Oryctolagus cuniculus: one gene and its partner. The protein of the gene in region 1 interacts with the protein of each later gene in a biochemical or structural test. Links are inferred from orthologs where the notes say so. Each region holds a gene or a part of one and is shown in the gene's direction. Other genes may lie near its edges.

Region 1 (7,917 bases):
GTAAATAATATGTCTTTATTAAGTGAGGAGTATTTGACCATGTATCAAAAAGATTTATTTACCTGAAAGGCCGCAATAGCCAGGACCAGGTCAAGCTGAAGCCAAGAGCCCAGAGCTTCATCCAGGTCTTCCACATGAGTGGCAGGGCCCAAGTACAAACCAGAGCTATCCTCACGTCCCTGAAACACAGTAAAAGAAAACTATTTTGAGTTTCCTGAAGAGTCTGTTATTTTTTATTTGAGAGACAGAAAGCTCCCATCTGTTTGCTCATCCCCATGCTCATCCCCTAGGCTACGCTGAGGGCCAAATCCAGGTGACTGGAACTCACATAGGTGAGGTACCCATTTACTTGAGCCATCCCTGCTGCCTCCCCAGGACTACATCAGAAGGAAGTTGGAACTGGCCAGCAAACCCAGGTACTGATATGGGACATGGATGGTTCAGCAGCTAAGACAAATGCCTGCCCCTCTTTGTTTTTTTTTTTTGTTTGTTTTTGTTTTTGTTTTTGTTTTTAAGATTGATTTATTTATTTGAAGGGCAGAGTTACACAGAGAGAGAGGGGAGGCAGAGAGAGAGAGGGCTTCGATCCACTAGTTCACTTCCCAATTGGCCACAACAGCTAGAGCTGTGCCAATCCAAAGCCAGGAGCTGAGAGCTTCTTCCAGATCTCCCACATGGGTGCAGAGGCCCAAGGACCTGGGCCATCTACTGCTTTCCCAGGCCATAGCAGAGATCTGGATCGGAAGTGGAACAACTGGGACCTGAACCAGCGCCTATATGGGATGCTGGCACTGCAGGTGGAGGATTAACCTACTATGTCACAGCCCTGACCCCTCCAAGTTCTTAGTGGATTGTTTTGAAGGAAAGAGATTAAAAACTAGTCAGTTCATTTTAGAGAAGACTTTACATTAAGGGATCGTTTCTATAGCTACTAGGGAAGGCTCTCTGAATATATGAGGAAGAAACAAAGCTGTTTGTCCTGAGTATGAAGCTGGTGTTGCTTTGGTCCAACTGCCATTTGCCACTGATGATAGTTCTTACCTTTCTCTGGGAGAATAAAAGAGACAGAATGCAGTTGGGGTGGTTTCCATTTGTGTAATTGGTCTAAACAGAAAGAAAATGAATTTTATTTATTCACTAGACTTGACTCTAAATCCCAATTTTAATCTTCAGGAGCAAGAATATAGATAGCCCATTTTGGATTAAATGAACACTGCTGGTCGCTTAGTTGTGACTGGAAAGGTCAAAGTCATGTGACCTCACTGGTGGGGAAAGGACTGTGGTTTTGTAGACTTTTTGAGCTGAAAGAGTATGAACAAGGGGTTGGGCGAAAGTGGGTAGTTTTTGTATGGAAAATAGTTTACTGTAATCCTAGGCCCTATCTAAGTTAATCACTAAATTACTAAAGATTTTTCCTAGGTCTAGAATGGCTCTTGAATCTGTTCTCTGTCGATGCCCTAACTTAAGCCTTCAACTCTGGCCTGAAATGTTGCACAAGCTTCTGAATGGATTTTTGCTGTCTCTGCTCCTTCTTGAAATTGTTTTTTAATGCCACGAGATGATGGCAAGAGGATGGTGTGAGCTGTTAACTTTAAAGCACTCAACAAACAGAAAATAGTAGTAGTAGGGGGGAAAGTAAATCTAACCTATGACTCATCTTAAAACTGAATTATTTGGGGGTCAGTGTTCTGACACAGCAGCTAAAAGCGGATGCTTGGGATGCCAGCATCAGAGTGCTTGGGATGAAGTTCTTCCTCTGTTCCCCTCCTCTTCTCAGATTTGTTTTATTCATTTGAAAGGCATAGTTACACAGAGACAGATAGATCTTTCATTTGCTGGTTCGCAGCATAAATGGCGTTAAGGTTAGGAGCTGGGCCAGGCTGAAGCCAGGTGCCAGGAGCTTCATCTCCACAACCTGCTAATGAACCTGGGAGGTAGCAAATGATGGTCCAATTATGTGGGTTCCTGTCACCCTCGTGGGAGACCCTGATGAGTTCGTGGCTCCTGGCTTTGGCCTGGCCCAGCCCAAAGAAAGTGAACCAGCGGATGGAAGAACCCCTTCTCTCTGACTTTAAAAGAAATACTTCGTTATTTCCCAAAGTAAAGACCAAAGCTCCTTACACCTCTTAGCTTGAACTAAATGTAACTTTCCTGGTCTCCATTCTTCCTCATCAGACAACATTATTCCTTGAACAAAGTTTATCCGCAAGCCCACACTGCACTGTTTTTATGTCTTCCACCGCTTGCTTCTTCACCCAAAAACTCTACCCAGCTTTCAAAATCGGAATCACAGGACGAACGTCCTGGTAAACCGTAAGGTTTGCCTTCTCAAATTCTGCGCCTCCTTCCTCTGGGGTCCTGCCAATCTCCAGTAAGTCACTGCAGATGACAGACACGGAGACATTTCTTTCTCCCCTCTGCTAGCTCCATTTTCATCCATCTGCCACAGATTCCTCAACTCCACCCCTGTCGGGGGCCTGGAAAGCGCTCGGCTCCAGGGTACAGCTCCCAGAAGAACCAAAAGCCCACATTCAAAGAACTACAGACACAACCAACAGGTCTCCCGGAAGTCAGAGCGCCCACCGGCGCCTCCCGGGAGATACAGCCCCGGCCCCACCACTCCAGCTCCTGGGAGTTGTGGTCCTCCATCTCGTGAAGACAAGAAGGTGGCGATTTAGAAAGTTTTGATTAGTCCTTGCGTTTAAGGGAGGTGGGAAACTCATAACACCACGCGGTGCCAAGCTCCTCAGCCCTTTCCCTACGGCCCCGAGCTCGGGCGGCCGGCGGAGCGCGAGGGGCGGGGCGGCGCGACGCCGACGCGTGCGTGACGCCGCCCTGAGGGTTTTGGCGGGACTTCCGAAAGCCGCCCCGCAGGACCAGCTGTGTTGACCGGGTCTTGAGGGGAGCTGAAACCTTCCGCTGGTCACGGGGTTGGATTTGAAACTCGCCGAGGTTGTGCGCAGAGGGCCGGAGCAAGGCGTGGACAAGTGGGTCTCGGGTCGGGGCCGAGGCCCTCCGGGGGTCGAGCGTGCGCCGGATCAGCGGACAGAAGCCCGAGCGAGCAACGCTGTTAGGCCCAGGTGAGTGTAAGTCGTCGGCCTGGCCTGTTTCCACGGCCGCGGCTCCTCCTCTCGTTGACCGGGCGCAGACAGGGGCCTGTGCTCCCTCGGCCGGCTTTTGGGATCTGCTGGTGAAAAAACGGAAGATGGCGGAGCCGGGGCGTGCCTGCGCCCAACGGACTTGGGGCTCGTTGTGGAGAGTCCCAGCGGCCGCCTGTCCTGAGCAGTGTAGTCACAGCTGTTTCACGCCGCCTGCATTTCCGTGTTCTGCTCCGTCTGTCCATGACACCATTTTCTGCTTACAAAGTACCAACCTTAAGTTGCCAGAAAGATATTTTCATGCTTTAGATGGAAAAGCATTCATATGGTGCCTAGGAAATTTTCCGAAGTGGGATTTGGCACGCAGAAAGCCTTCTAAAGTGGACTGAAACACAATATAGAAACGCGCACGTCCCAAGCGTATACAGCGATTATTGCAAAATGAATACACCTGTGTAATCATGCATGTCAAACAGAATGCTGTCAGCACCCCAGCAGCCTCTCTTCTGCCCCCTTGTCGCTTATTTTCTCTCTTCTGTTAACCGTGTATACCATTAACGAATACCGGCTGTTTTTGAATTTTGTATGAATGCACCAGAAGTTTTGAGAGTTTACTTTTTCCACATACTTGCCAACACTTGATCTTCGTCATTCTTTTTATTTTTAGGTATTCTAGTAAATAGTAATATTTCATTGTGGCTTAAATTTTAACTTTCCTGATATTGATGAGGTTAGGCATTTGTTCATATGTTTCTTGACCATTTGGACGTCTTGTGAAGTGGCTATTCAATTTCTACCTATTTTTCTACTGATTATCTTTTTCCTCCTGGTTTGAAGGCATTCTTTATATTCTGATTAACAGCCATCAGTTTTATATGGTAAATATTTTCTTTATTTGACTTCTCATTCTCTTAATGGTATCTTGAGGGATAGAAGTTCTGAGTGTAAGTGTAGCCCAGTTTTTCAGTCTTTTCCTTTTTGGTTATCACACTAGGTATCCAGTTGAAGAATTCTTTCTCTTTCCCATGGTTTTTGTTTTTTTTTTTTTTTTTTTTTTTTTTGACAGGCAGAGTGGACAGTGAGAGAGAGAGACAGAAAGGTCTTCCTTTGCCGTTGGTTCACCCTCCAATAGCCGCCGCGGCCGGCGCGCTGCAGCCGGCGCACCGCGCTGATCCGATGGCAGGAGCCAGGAGCCAGGTGCTTTTCCTGGTCTCCCATGGGGTGCAGGGCCCAAGCACCTGGGCCATCCTCCACTGCACTCCCTGGCCACAGCAGAGGGCTGGCCTGGAAGAGGGGCAACCGGGACAGAATCCGGCGCCCCGACCGGGACTAGAACCCGGTGTGCCGGCGCCGCTAGGCGGAGGATTAGCCTAGTGAGCCGCGGCGCCGGCCTTTCCCATGGTTTTATATATATATGTGTGTGTGTATATATATATATATATATTTTTTTTTTTTTGGACAGGCAGAGTGGACAGTGAGAGAGAGAGACAGAGAGAAAGGTCTTCCTTTGCCGTTGGTTCAGCCTCCAATGGCTGCTGTGCTGCGGCCAGCGCACCGCGCTGATCCGAAGGCAGGAGCCAGGTGCTTCTCCTGGTCTGGTTATGATTGTTTTTACCTCTTAAATTTAAATCTGTAATCTAAATTGGAAATTGACTTTTTTTTCTGTGATATGAGAGGGATCAAGTCCATTTTATTCTGCAAGACTACCCAGTCGGCCCAGTACTATTTACTGAGATGACCATCCTTCCCCATTGCTCTGCAGTGAATCTATTTTCATAAATTAGACAGTGGAGGTTTTTCTGTTGCATTCAGCTGATTCTGATACATGGCATTCTTATCAACTCAGTATGCTAAATCTGCTGCTAAGAGATCTGTACTTGAGCCAGACCAGATGGTCATCCAGCATTGTCTGTCAAGCCTCCAAGTGTGGAATTCATCTTTTTTTTTTTTTTTTTTGGTAGAATATACTTATTTATTTGAAAGGCAGAGAGAGAGAGAAGGATCCTCTATCTAGTGGTTCACTCCCCTAAATGGCTGCTACAGCCAGGTCTGAGCCAGGTTGAAGCAAGGAGCCAGGAACTCTATCTTGGTGTTCCATTTGTGTGGCAGGGGGCACAAGCACTTGGGTTGTCTTCCACTGCCTTCTCAAGCACATTAGCAGGTAGCCGAATCAGGAGACAAGATTGACCCTAATATGGGATGCAGGTGTTCGGAAGCGGGTGTTGAACCTGCTGCTCTGTAACATGCCCTGGAATTCCTATCTGTCAGACTGTCCTCAGATGAGAGAGGGTACCTCAGAAAGTTCATGGGAAGTGGAATTTAAAATAAGGAGTTTATTTTGTTGCAAATCAACTTTGAAATCCATGCATAGTTGTTTACATATACACATTTTGTATGTATTAAGGAAGAATTCTTTCAAGTTTTATTTATTTATTTAAAAGGTAGATCAACAGAGAGAGGGTGAGAGAGCTTCAATCTAATGGTTCACTCCCAGATTGCCACAACAGCCACATCTGAGTCAGGCAGAAGCCAGGAGCCAGGAACTCCATCCAAGGGTAGCAGGGCCCCGTGTTTGGGCCATCTTCTGCTGCCTTCACAAGTGCATTAGCAGAAAGCTGTATCAGAAGCAGAGGAGCTGGGGCTTGGAACCAGCACTCAGTGGGATGCCAGCATTGCTTTGTACAACACGAGCCCCGCAAGCTGACCAATCTTTTTTGTTTGTTTGTTTAAGATTTATTTTTTATTCATTTGAAAGACAGAGTCACAGAGGTAGAGACATAGAGAGAGGTCTTCCATCAAGTGATTCACTCCTCAGATGGCCGCAACGGCCAGACCCATGCCGATCCGAAGCCAGGAGCCTCTTCCAGGTCTCCCACGTGGGTGCAGGGGCCCAAGGACCTGGGCCATCTTCCACTGCCCTCACAGGCCACAGCAGAGAGCTGGGTTGGAAGAGAGGCAGCCAGCACTAGAACCGGTGCCCATATGGGATGCTGGTGCCCCAGGCCAGGGCTTTAACCCGCTGCACCACAGCACTGGCCCCATCAATCTTTTTTTTTTTTTTTTTAAGTTTTTTCAAAGGTTTATTTTATTATTTGAAAGGCAGAATTAGAGAGAGAGAGAGAGAGAGAGGTCTTCCATCTACTGGTTCACTCCCCAAATGGCTGCAGTGGCTACAGCTGTGCCAGTCTAAAACCAGGAGCTTCTTTTGGGTCTCCCACACGGGTGCAGGGGCCCACGGACTTGCACCATCTTCTGCTTTTCCAGGCCATAGCAGAGAGCTGGATTGGAAGTAGAGCAGCCGGGACTTGAACCAACAACCATATGGGATGCCTGCACTGTAGGTGGCAGCTTTACCCTGTACACCACAGTGCTGGCCCCAAGATTTTATTTACTTGAGAAAAAGTTACAGAGTTAAACTCAAATGGTTACAACAGCCAGAGCTGTGTTGATCCGAAGCCAGGAGCTTCTGGGTCTCCTGTGCAGATGCAGGGGCCCAAGTATTTGGGCCATTTTCCACTGCTCTCCCAGGGCATAAGCAGAGAGCTGGATCTGAAGAGAAGCAGCCAGGACACAAACCAACACCCATTTGGGATGCCAGTGCCACAAGCAGAGGCTTAGCCTACCTACTATGCCACAGCTCTGGCCCCAGGCTGACCAATCTTAACTTTAGCATAATAATTTTATTTTAGGAATAGACTTTACAATTAAATTGAAGATTTCAGAATGATCAGGGTATTTACCTGCTTTATTTGCTTATTCACTGAAGTCTGGCATTGACTAAAATAGTGATCTTTAAATTCCATACACTCCTGTTGGAAGTTTAAGTATGGCTATAAGCTATGATCCTTGCTTGTGATGGGGCGTCCTTTTTTTTTCTTTTTAATTTGAAAGAGTTATAGAGAAAGGAGCCGAGAAGAGATCTTCCATCCACTGGTTCACTCCCCAGATGGCTGCAACAGCCCGAGCTGGGCCAGACCTGAAGCCAAGAGCCTGGAGCTTTTCTGGGGCTCCTACGTGGGTGGAGGGCCCAAGCACTTGGACCATCTGCTGCCTTCCCAGGCACATTAGCAGGGAACTGGATTGGAGGTGGAGCAGCTGGGACTCGAACCGGCACCCATATGGAATGCCAGTGTCTTGGGCCAAGGCTTAACCTGCTATGCCTCAAGCCAGCCCCCAGAGGTGCTTCCCTAATCTGTTTGTTCTTTCTCTACCATGAATGGAGCTTATATAGAGTGGGTCACCACTCTATATCTTTTAATAGTCCTCTAACCCCCATGCTCCTCTTACTGGAAGAAAACAGAACTAAAATAGTTTAACCTTTCATAGTCCTAAAGAGTCTATAATCATTTAGCAAACACCTAACATTTCTTCTTCTTTTTTTTTTCCCCCAAAGATGTATTTATTTATTTGAAAGTCAGAGTTGCAGAGAGAGAGGAGAGGCAGAGAGAGAGAGAGGTCGGTCTTCCCATCTGATGGCTCATTCCCCAGTTGGCCACAGTGGCCAGAGCTGCGCCGATCCGAAGCCAGGAACAGGAGCTTCTTCCGGGTCTCCCACGTGGGTGCTGGAGTCCAAGGATTTGAACCATCTAGTACTGCCCCCCCAACCCCCAGGCCACAGCAGAGAGTTGGATCAAAAGTGGAGCAACCAGGTCTCCAAACCGGCATCCATATGGGATGCCAACACTTAAGGCCAGGGCATTAACCCTCTGTGCCACAGCGCCAGCCCCCACCTAATATTTCTGATGTGCCATCATATAATCAGCAGAAAACCCAATGGGTTTTTTTTTCCTTATTTATTTGAAAGAGTTAGAGAGAGAGG
Region 2 (7,840 bases), on another chromosome or scaffold:
TACTTATCCAAAAGAATTGAAATGAGGGTCTCAAAGAAATATCTGCACTCCCATGTTCACAGTAACATGATTCACAATAGTTAAGATATAGAAACAACCTACATGTCCATTGATGGGTCAATGAATAAAAAAATGTGGTCTGGGGCTGACGCTGTGGTGCAGCAGGTTAAGCCTCTGCCTACAGTGCTGGCATCCCATTTGGGTGCTGATTCAAGTCCTGGCTGCTCCATTTCCAACCCAGCTCCCTGCTAATGTGTCTGGGAAAGCAGTGGTGGATGGCCCAAGTCCTGGGCTCCTGCACCAATGTGGGAAACCTGTAAGAATCTCCTGGATCTGTCTTCAGCCTGGCCCAGCTCCAGCCATTGCAGCCATTTGGGGAGTGAGCCAGCAAATGGAAGATCTTGCTCTCTCTGTGACTCTTCCCTTCAGATAAATAAATAAATATGAAAAAAAAGAAAGAAATCTTAAGTTCATGGGAAAATAGAATTAAAAGATAAGTTCATTTAAAAAAGATTTATTTATGTATTTTAAAGGTAGAGTCAGAGAGAGAGGAAGAGGCAAAGAGAGTTTTTCCATCCTCTGATTCAGTTCTCAAATGGCTGCAACCATTGGGGTCAGCCCAGTTAAAGTCAGGAGCCTGGAACTCCATTTGAGTCTCCCATGGGCGTGGTGGGGGCCCAACTGATTGGACCTTGGGGCCACTGCTGTGGCGCAGCAGGTCAAAGCCCTGGCCTGCAGCGCTGGCATCCCCATTCAGCTCCCCACTAATGTGCCTGGGAAAGCAGCAGAGGATGGTCCAGATCCTTGGGCCCCTGCACCCACATGGAAGACCAGAAGAAGCTCCTGGGTCATGGCTTCAGATTGGCTCTGGCCATTGTGGCCATTGCGGCCATTTGGGGAGTGATCCAGCAGATCGAAGACCTCTCTGTTTCTGTCTCTACCTCTTTCTGTAACTGTATTTCAAATAAATAAAATAAATAAATAAATAAATAAATAAATAAACAACTAATTGGGCCATCTTCTGCTCACTTTCCAGGTGCATTAGCAGATAGCTGGATCAGACGAAGAATGCTTTCTCTCTGTGGGTGTGTCTCCTTTCTGTAACTCTGCCATTCAAATAAATTAAAAAAATACTGAAATGAAACAAAAATTTAAAAATAAGATTTTGTGGCCTTTTTTATTTCTAAAATATATTTTATTTTGGCCAGCGCCATGGCTCAATAGGCTAATCCTCCACCTGCGGCACTGGCACACCAGGTTCTAGTCCCGGTCGGGGTGCTGGATTCTGTCCTGGTTGCCCCTCTTCCAGTCCAGCTCTATGCTGTGGCCTGGGAAGGCAGCGGAGGATGGCCCAAGTGCTTGGGTCCTGCACCCGCATGGGAGACCAGGAGGAGCACCTGGCTCCTGGCTTCGGATCAGCGCGATGCGCCGGCCGCAGTGCGCCAGCCACAGTGGCCATTGGGGGGTGAAACAACAGCAAAAAGGAAGACCTTTCTCTCTGTCTCTCTCTGTCACTGTCCACTCTGCCTGTCAAAAAAATTTTTATTTATTTATTTGAGAAATGCAGAGTCACAGATGGAGAGAGGAATAAACAGAAAGAAAGGTCTTCCATCCGCTGGTTCACTCCCAAAATGGCCACAATTGATAGGCTGATAGGGCTGATAGGAAGCCAGGAGCCAGGAGCCAGGAGCCAGGAGCTTCTTCTGAGTTTCCCACGTGGGTGAAAGGGTCCAAGTAGTTGGATCATCTTCCACGGCTTTCCCAGGCCATTAGCAGAGAGCTGGATCAGAAGAGGAGCAGCTGGAACACAAACATATGGGATGAGGGTGCTGCAGGTGGAAGTTTAGCCTACTAAGCGGCAGCACAGATCCAGAAAATGTGGTCTATAAACACAATGGAATATCATTAAGGCCTTTTTTTTTTTTTTTTTTTTTTTTTTTTTGACAGGCAGAGTGGACAGTGAGAGAGAGAGACAGAGAGAAAGGTCTTCCTTTGCCGTTGGTTCACCCTCCAATGGCCGCCGCGGCCGGCGCGCTATGGCCAGTGCACCACGCTGATCTGAAGGCAGGAGCCAGGTGCTTCTCCTGGTCTCCCATGGGGTGCAGGGCCCAAGCACTTGGGCTATCCTCCACTGCACTCCCTGGCCACAGCAGAGAGCTGGCCTGGAAGAGGGGCAACCGGGACAGAATCCGGTGCCCCGACCGCGACTAGAACCTGGTGTGCCGGCGCCGCTAGGCGGAGGATTAGCCTGTTGAGCCTCGGCGCCGGCCTTATTAAGGCTTTAAAAAGAAGAAAATCTGACATACATCACAATGTGAATGAACATGTGGGACACTGCATTAAATGAATTAAGCCAGTCTCAGAAGGACACATTATGCTCAAATTCATGTATATGAGGAATCTGAAATAGTCAAATGCAAAGGAACAGAGGTTGAATAGTGGTTGACAGGGGCTGGTGGGAGGAGTAAATGCAGGATAACTGTTCCATTGGTAAAGAGTTTCAGTTATGCAAGCTGGGAAAGTTTGAGAGATTTATTATTCATCATTGTGCTTATGGCTAAAATATACTGTATCCTGTACTTATAACACTTGCCAAGGGTCATATGTTATTTTTAAAAAGCAGAAGCCAGGAAACCAGGAACTTCTGTCTCTCCCATGTAGGTGCAAGGGCCCAAGGACTTGGGTCATCCTCCACTGCTTTCCCAGTAGATTAGCAGGGAGCTGGATGGGAAGTGGAGCAGCCATATGGGATGCTGGTACTGCAGGCAGCCGCTTAATCTGCTAGGCCAAAATGTCAGCCCTTTGTCTCTTATTTTTATGAATACATATATGATGCAAAATTACTATGACATTGGATTTAAGTTATTTTTAATTTAACAAAAATTTAAAATGTATTTCAGACAGAGAGGGAGAGGAGGGAGGGAGGGAGGAGGAGGAGGAGGAGGAGGAGAGGGAGAGGGAGAGGGAGAGGGAGAGGGAGAGGGAGAGGGAGAGGGAGAGGGAGAGGGAGAGGGAGAGGGAGAGGGAGAGAGAGGAAGAGAGTGCTCCCATCTGCTGGTTCACTCCCCAGATGTTTGCAACATCCAGAGTTGCACTAGGCCAAAGGCCTGAGCCAGGAACACAGTCTAAGTCCCCCACATGGGTGACAGGAATCCAATTACTTGAGCCCCTGCTGCTGCCCCTCAATGTCTGCATTAGTAGGGAGCTGGAATTAGGAGTTGCAGCTGAGACTCGAACTCAGGTACTCCAGTGCGGGCCATGGGTGTCTGCCCCGATACTGGCACTTCTGAAGACTGCAGTGCCTCTCAGTACATATAAACAAATCTAACCAATAAGCCCCGCCCTTAACACACATTTTTTCTGTTAATTGAATGCTCCTCATTTTACGTTTGTCTGCTCTTCGTGACTTGGTTATACATTCTGTGCTGGGACACCACACAGATGACGTTGTGCCTTCAGGACAGCACACTGGGAGGCAGCAGTGAGGGCTCAGTGATTGGGTTCCTTCCACACCCATGGGAGACCTGGACTGAGTTCACGGCTCCTGTTCTAGCTCTGGCCATCTTGGGCATTTGGAAAGTGAATCAAGGAATGGGAGCTCTCTCTCACTCTTTTCTCTCTCTCCTCTCAAAAAAAATTTTTTTTTGGATGCTTTCTGATAGATTTAATTTTAGGCAAGTTTTTAAAAATTATTTTTATTGGAGCCAGTGCTGTGGCCTTGTAGGCTCAGCCTCCGCCTGTGTGTGGCACTGGCATCCCATATAGGTGCTGGTTCAAGTCCTTGCTGCTCCTCTTTGGATCCAGCTCTCTGCTATGGCCTAGGAAAACAGTGGAAGATGGCCCAAGTGCTTGGGCTCCTGGCTTTGGATCAGTCCAGCTCTGGCTGTTGTGGCCATTTGCGGGGTGAACCAACAAAAGAAAGACCTTTCTGTCTCTCTCTCTCTCTCGCTGTCTAACTCTGTCAAATAAATTTTAAAAAAATTTTAAAAATTTTAATTGTTGTAAAATACTCATAACATACAATTTACCATCATAAAAATCCTTAGGTGTACAGTTCAGTGGGGTTAAGTACATTCATATTACTGTGTAACCAATCTCCAAAATTCACATATTTTTATAACACTGAAGCTCTATATCCAATAAATAATAGCTCCCCCTTCTATCCTCCCCTTAGCTACTGGCAAACACCCTTCTACTTTCTGTCTTTATGATTTTTACTACTTTAGGTACCTCCTATAACTAGAATCATACAGTATTCGTCTTTCTTAACAGGCTTATTTCACTGACATAATATCCTCAATTTCATCAATGTTTTAGCATGTGTCAAGATTTTCTTCCTTTTATAAAGCAAGTAACAGTCCATTGTATGAGTAGTGGTTAAGAGGCTGCTTGGGACATCCATATACTATACTGGAGGGCCTGTTCACCCTGGGAGGAGGCAGATGATGGCTCAAGTACTTAGGTTCCACGTGGGAGACTATGATGGAGTTTTGAGTTCCTGGCTTTGGCCTAGCCCAGCCCTGGTTGTTGTGGGCATGTGGGGAGTGAATTGGAAAATGAAAGGTCTGTCTCAGTCTCTCTGTGTCTTTCTACCTTTCAAATAAAAATTTAAAAATAGAAATAAAAATGAAATTTAATTGTGTGTATCTACTACATTTTGTTTTTCAGTTCACCTGTTAATGGAACTTTGGTTGCTTCTACCACTTGGCTTTTGTGAATAATGCTGTTATGAACATGCTGTTAGGAAACATTTCTTGAATGCTTTCCATTCTCTTGGATATTCACACAGAAGTGACATTCCTTGATATATGGTAGTCCTATTTTTAAATTTTTTGTATTTCCATAGTGGCTGTACCATTTTACCTTGCTACCTGCATAGCACAAAGGGTTCGAATTTCTCCACATCTTCAACACTTGTTATTTTCTGTTTTTTAAATACTAGCTATTTTAATGGATGTATTTTTATACATAGTTTAGGCCTTGCCTTTTCTACAGAAAATGATCTTGAGCATTATCATGTCAATAGACATTCTTCTGAACATGATCATTAATGGGTGAATACCTAATAGAGTCTGTAATGTGGTATTTTGTTTCCAGTAAATATTCAGGGTATAAATAATGTGCATGGTAGTCTTGGAAAGAAATCTTTGTAGGGCTAGTGTTGTGGTACAATGGGTTAATGGGCACCAGTTCAAGTCCTAGCTGCTCCATTTCCTATCCAGCTCCCTGCTAATGTGCCTGGGAAAGCTGTAGAAGATGGCCCAAGTGCTTGGGCCCCTGCAGCCACCTGGGAGATCCAGAAGAGGCTCCATGCTCCTGGCTTCAGCCTTGCCCAGACTCAGCTGTTGCAGCCATTTGGAAAGTGAACCAGCGGATGGATGATTTTTCTTGTCTCTCTTCCTCTCTCTTTAGGTCTGCCTTTAAACTAAATAAAAATCTTAAAAAAAAATTATTTCAACTTAGACAGAGAGAGAGAGAGAGAGAGAGATGGGAGAGGGAGAGGAAGGGAGAAGGGGCGGGGGAAGAGGAGGGAGAGGGGGAGGGGCTCTTCCATTGTTGGTGTACTCCCAGATGGCTGCAATGGTCAGTGGTCCAGGGCAATGCAGAAGCTAGGAGCTTCTCCTGGGTCTCCCACATGAGTCACAGGGACCCAAGGACTTGGGCCATCCTCCGCTGGTTTCCCAGGTGCATTAGCAGGGAGCTGGATGGGAAGTGGAGAAGCTGGGACACAAACCTGCACCTATGTGGGATGTCAGCTTTGCAGGTGGTGGCTTTATGTGCTATGCCACAATGCTGGCACAGTGGAATTTCAAAAAGGTTGGGTAGGTAGTTACATTTATATACTTTTTCCTTTATGACTTATTTTTCAATTTTTATTTTTTTAAAGATTTATTTATTAATTTGCAAGTCAGAGTTACACAGAGGAGAGCAAGAGAGAGAGACAGAGAGAGAGGGAGAGAGATCTTCCATCCGATGGTTCACTCCCCAACTGGCTGCAACTTGGGTGCAGAGGCCCAAGGACTTAGGCCATCTTCTACTGCTTTCCCCGGCCATAGCAGAGAGCTGGATTGGAAGAGGAGCATCCAGATCTTGAACCAGCGCCCATATGGGATGCCGGCACTGCAGGCCAGGGTATTAACCCTCTGTGCCAAAGCGTCGGCCCCTATTTTTCAACTTTTATACTTAGAGCATCCTTCTCTAGTCTATTTTTTAAAATCTTGTTTTATGTATCTGTGTGTAACATTTCACCATTAGATTCTACTGTAACTTAAATAGCTAAATAATTGTCTCAGCACCATCTTAAAAATAAACTTTTCTTTCTAGGTTGACTTGAAATACGGTCTATGAGGCTGGCGCTGCTGTTCACTTGGCTAATCCTTTGCCTGCGGCGTTGGCACCCCGGGTTCTAGTCCCAGTTGCCACCCTGGGTTCTGGTCCTGGTTGCCACCCCGGGTTCTAGTCCCGGTTGCGGCGCCGGATTCTGTCCCGGTTGCTCCTCTTCCAGTCCAGCTCTCTGCTCTGGCTCCGGAAGGCAGTGGAGGATGGGAGACCAGGAGGAAGCACCTGGCTCCTGATCGGCGTAGTTCCGGCCATAGAGAACATTTTGGGGTGAACCAACGTAAGGAACACCTTTTTCTCTGTCTCTCTCTCACTGTCTAAGTCTGCCTGTCCAAAAAAAAAAAAAAAAAAAAAAAAAACAAACAAAACAAAACCTTAAAAAAAAAAAAGAAATATGGTCTATGAAACAACAAATAATTTACGCATCGTGGGATTCCAGGGTTCCCACTCGGCTTCCCGCCAGCTGAGTAGGGGCCCTGGATTACTTCCGCCCGGATAGTGAGCCGTTGGGTTCACTGATTTTATTGGAGTTCTCAGTACAGATGCTCTGCGCCTACCACGAATACCTCCACAGACCACAATCTCATTCATGACCGTCTGTACCGTACTTAGGGTGTGATGACTCAACTTCTAAAACCATTTTTTGAGCATTGCTAACAGGATGTGCACTCGTCATCCAGGTCCAGGGAGCTGTGCCATGGGACATTCAGAAGTAGACGTCCCCTCCACCAAGTCTCCACCTAGCCCTTCCCCTCGGCTCCTCGCCACTTTTTAGGACGTCACCAGGTGACGAATGGATGAGCCCGGAGGTGACGAATGAATAAGCGTGTTCACGTTTGGCTTGCTGTGCCTGTCCCGAGAGGAATCCAGGGAGGGATGTAAAAACCATCCCAACAAGACTTAAAAGCGCTATTGCTTTTCCCAATTGTGCAGGGAGAGCTATTGGGGAGGTATTCCCGCCCCGCCCGGAACTGGACCTTGAGTACACGTGATGGCGCGGGAAGACTTGGCCCCAAGAGACCTACGATTAAGCCGCAGCCCCAGAAGGAGCTCGCCAGGTCCACGAGGGTGAGCGGAAGCCCGGGCGGCAGCAGACTGTAAGAAGTTGGCGAGAAAGCGGTTTGCGACACAGAAACCTTCATCATGCAACTAAATTGCTTTACGTCTTCCAGCAGGCTGCTTTGCGGCTCTCCTCCCCATCCGAATTGATTTACGGCTCCTCCTTCTGCTTTTTCAAATCTGTCCCTCACGTCCTCCCGGCTCCCTGAGGCTGATGCTGGGATTAGACCTTCTTCCCAGGGTGCCCTTGCACTTCCTTCCCAGTTTCCTCTGCGCATCCCGTCCCTAGTTCCCGTCGCTTACGTGCTGCCGTACGAGGTTCCCTGCGTGCACTGCGCGTTGCCGGAGGCGCGTAAGTGAGGAGGGGGAGGCTGGTCCTGTTTCCGTGGTTCCGGCTGGGGATTGTGGAACGTGGCGCCGCTCAGATTCCGAGCGGAGCACT

Evidence for each region. The genes of interacting proteins can lie anywhere in the genome.
Region 2: the proteins of RAD51 (region 1) and RAD52 form a complex in vitro, tested with the Homo sapiens proteins (6 studies listed by BioGRID). The link is inferred for Oryctolagus cuniculus from reciprocal best matches to the Homo sapiens genes RAD51 and RAD52.

Annotation. Positions count from the first base shown.
Region 1 is NC_091443.1:63,836,447-63,844,363, forward strand, and holds the start of RAD51 (DNA repair protein RAD51 homolog 1), read left to right. Parts: upstream 1-2,818; 5' UTR 2,819-3,080; intron 3,081-7,917.
Region 2 is NC_091440.1:98,759,338-98,767,177, reverse strand, and holds the start of RAD52 (DNA repair protein RAD52 homolog), read left to right. Parts: upstream 1-3,643; 5' UTR 3,644-7,750; intron 7,751-7,840. UniProt on the Homo sapiens protein: Involved in double-stranded break repair. Plays a central role in genetic recombination and DNA repair by promoting the annealing of complementary single-stranded DNA and by stimulation of the RAD51 recombinase.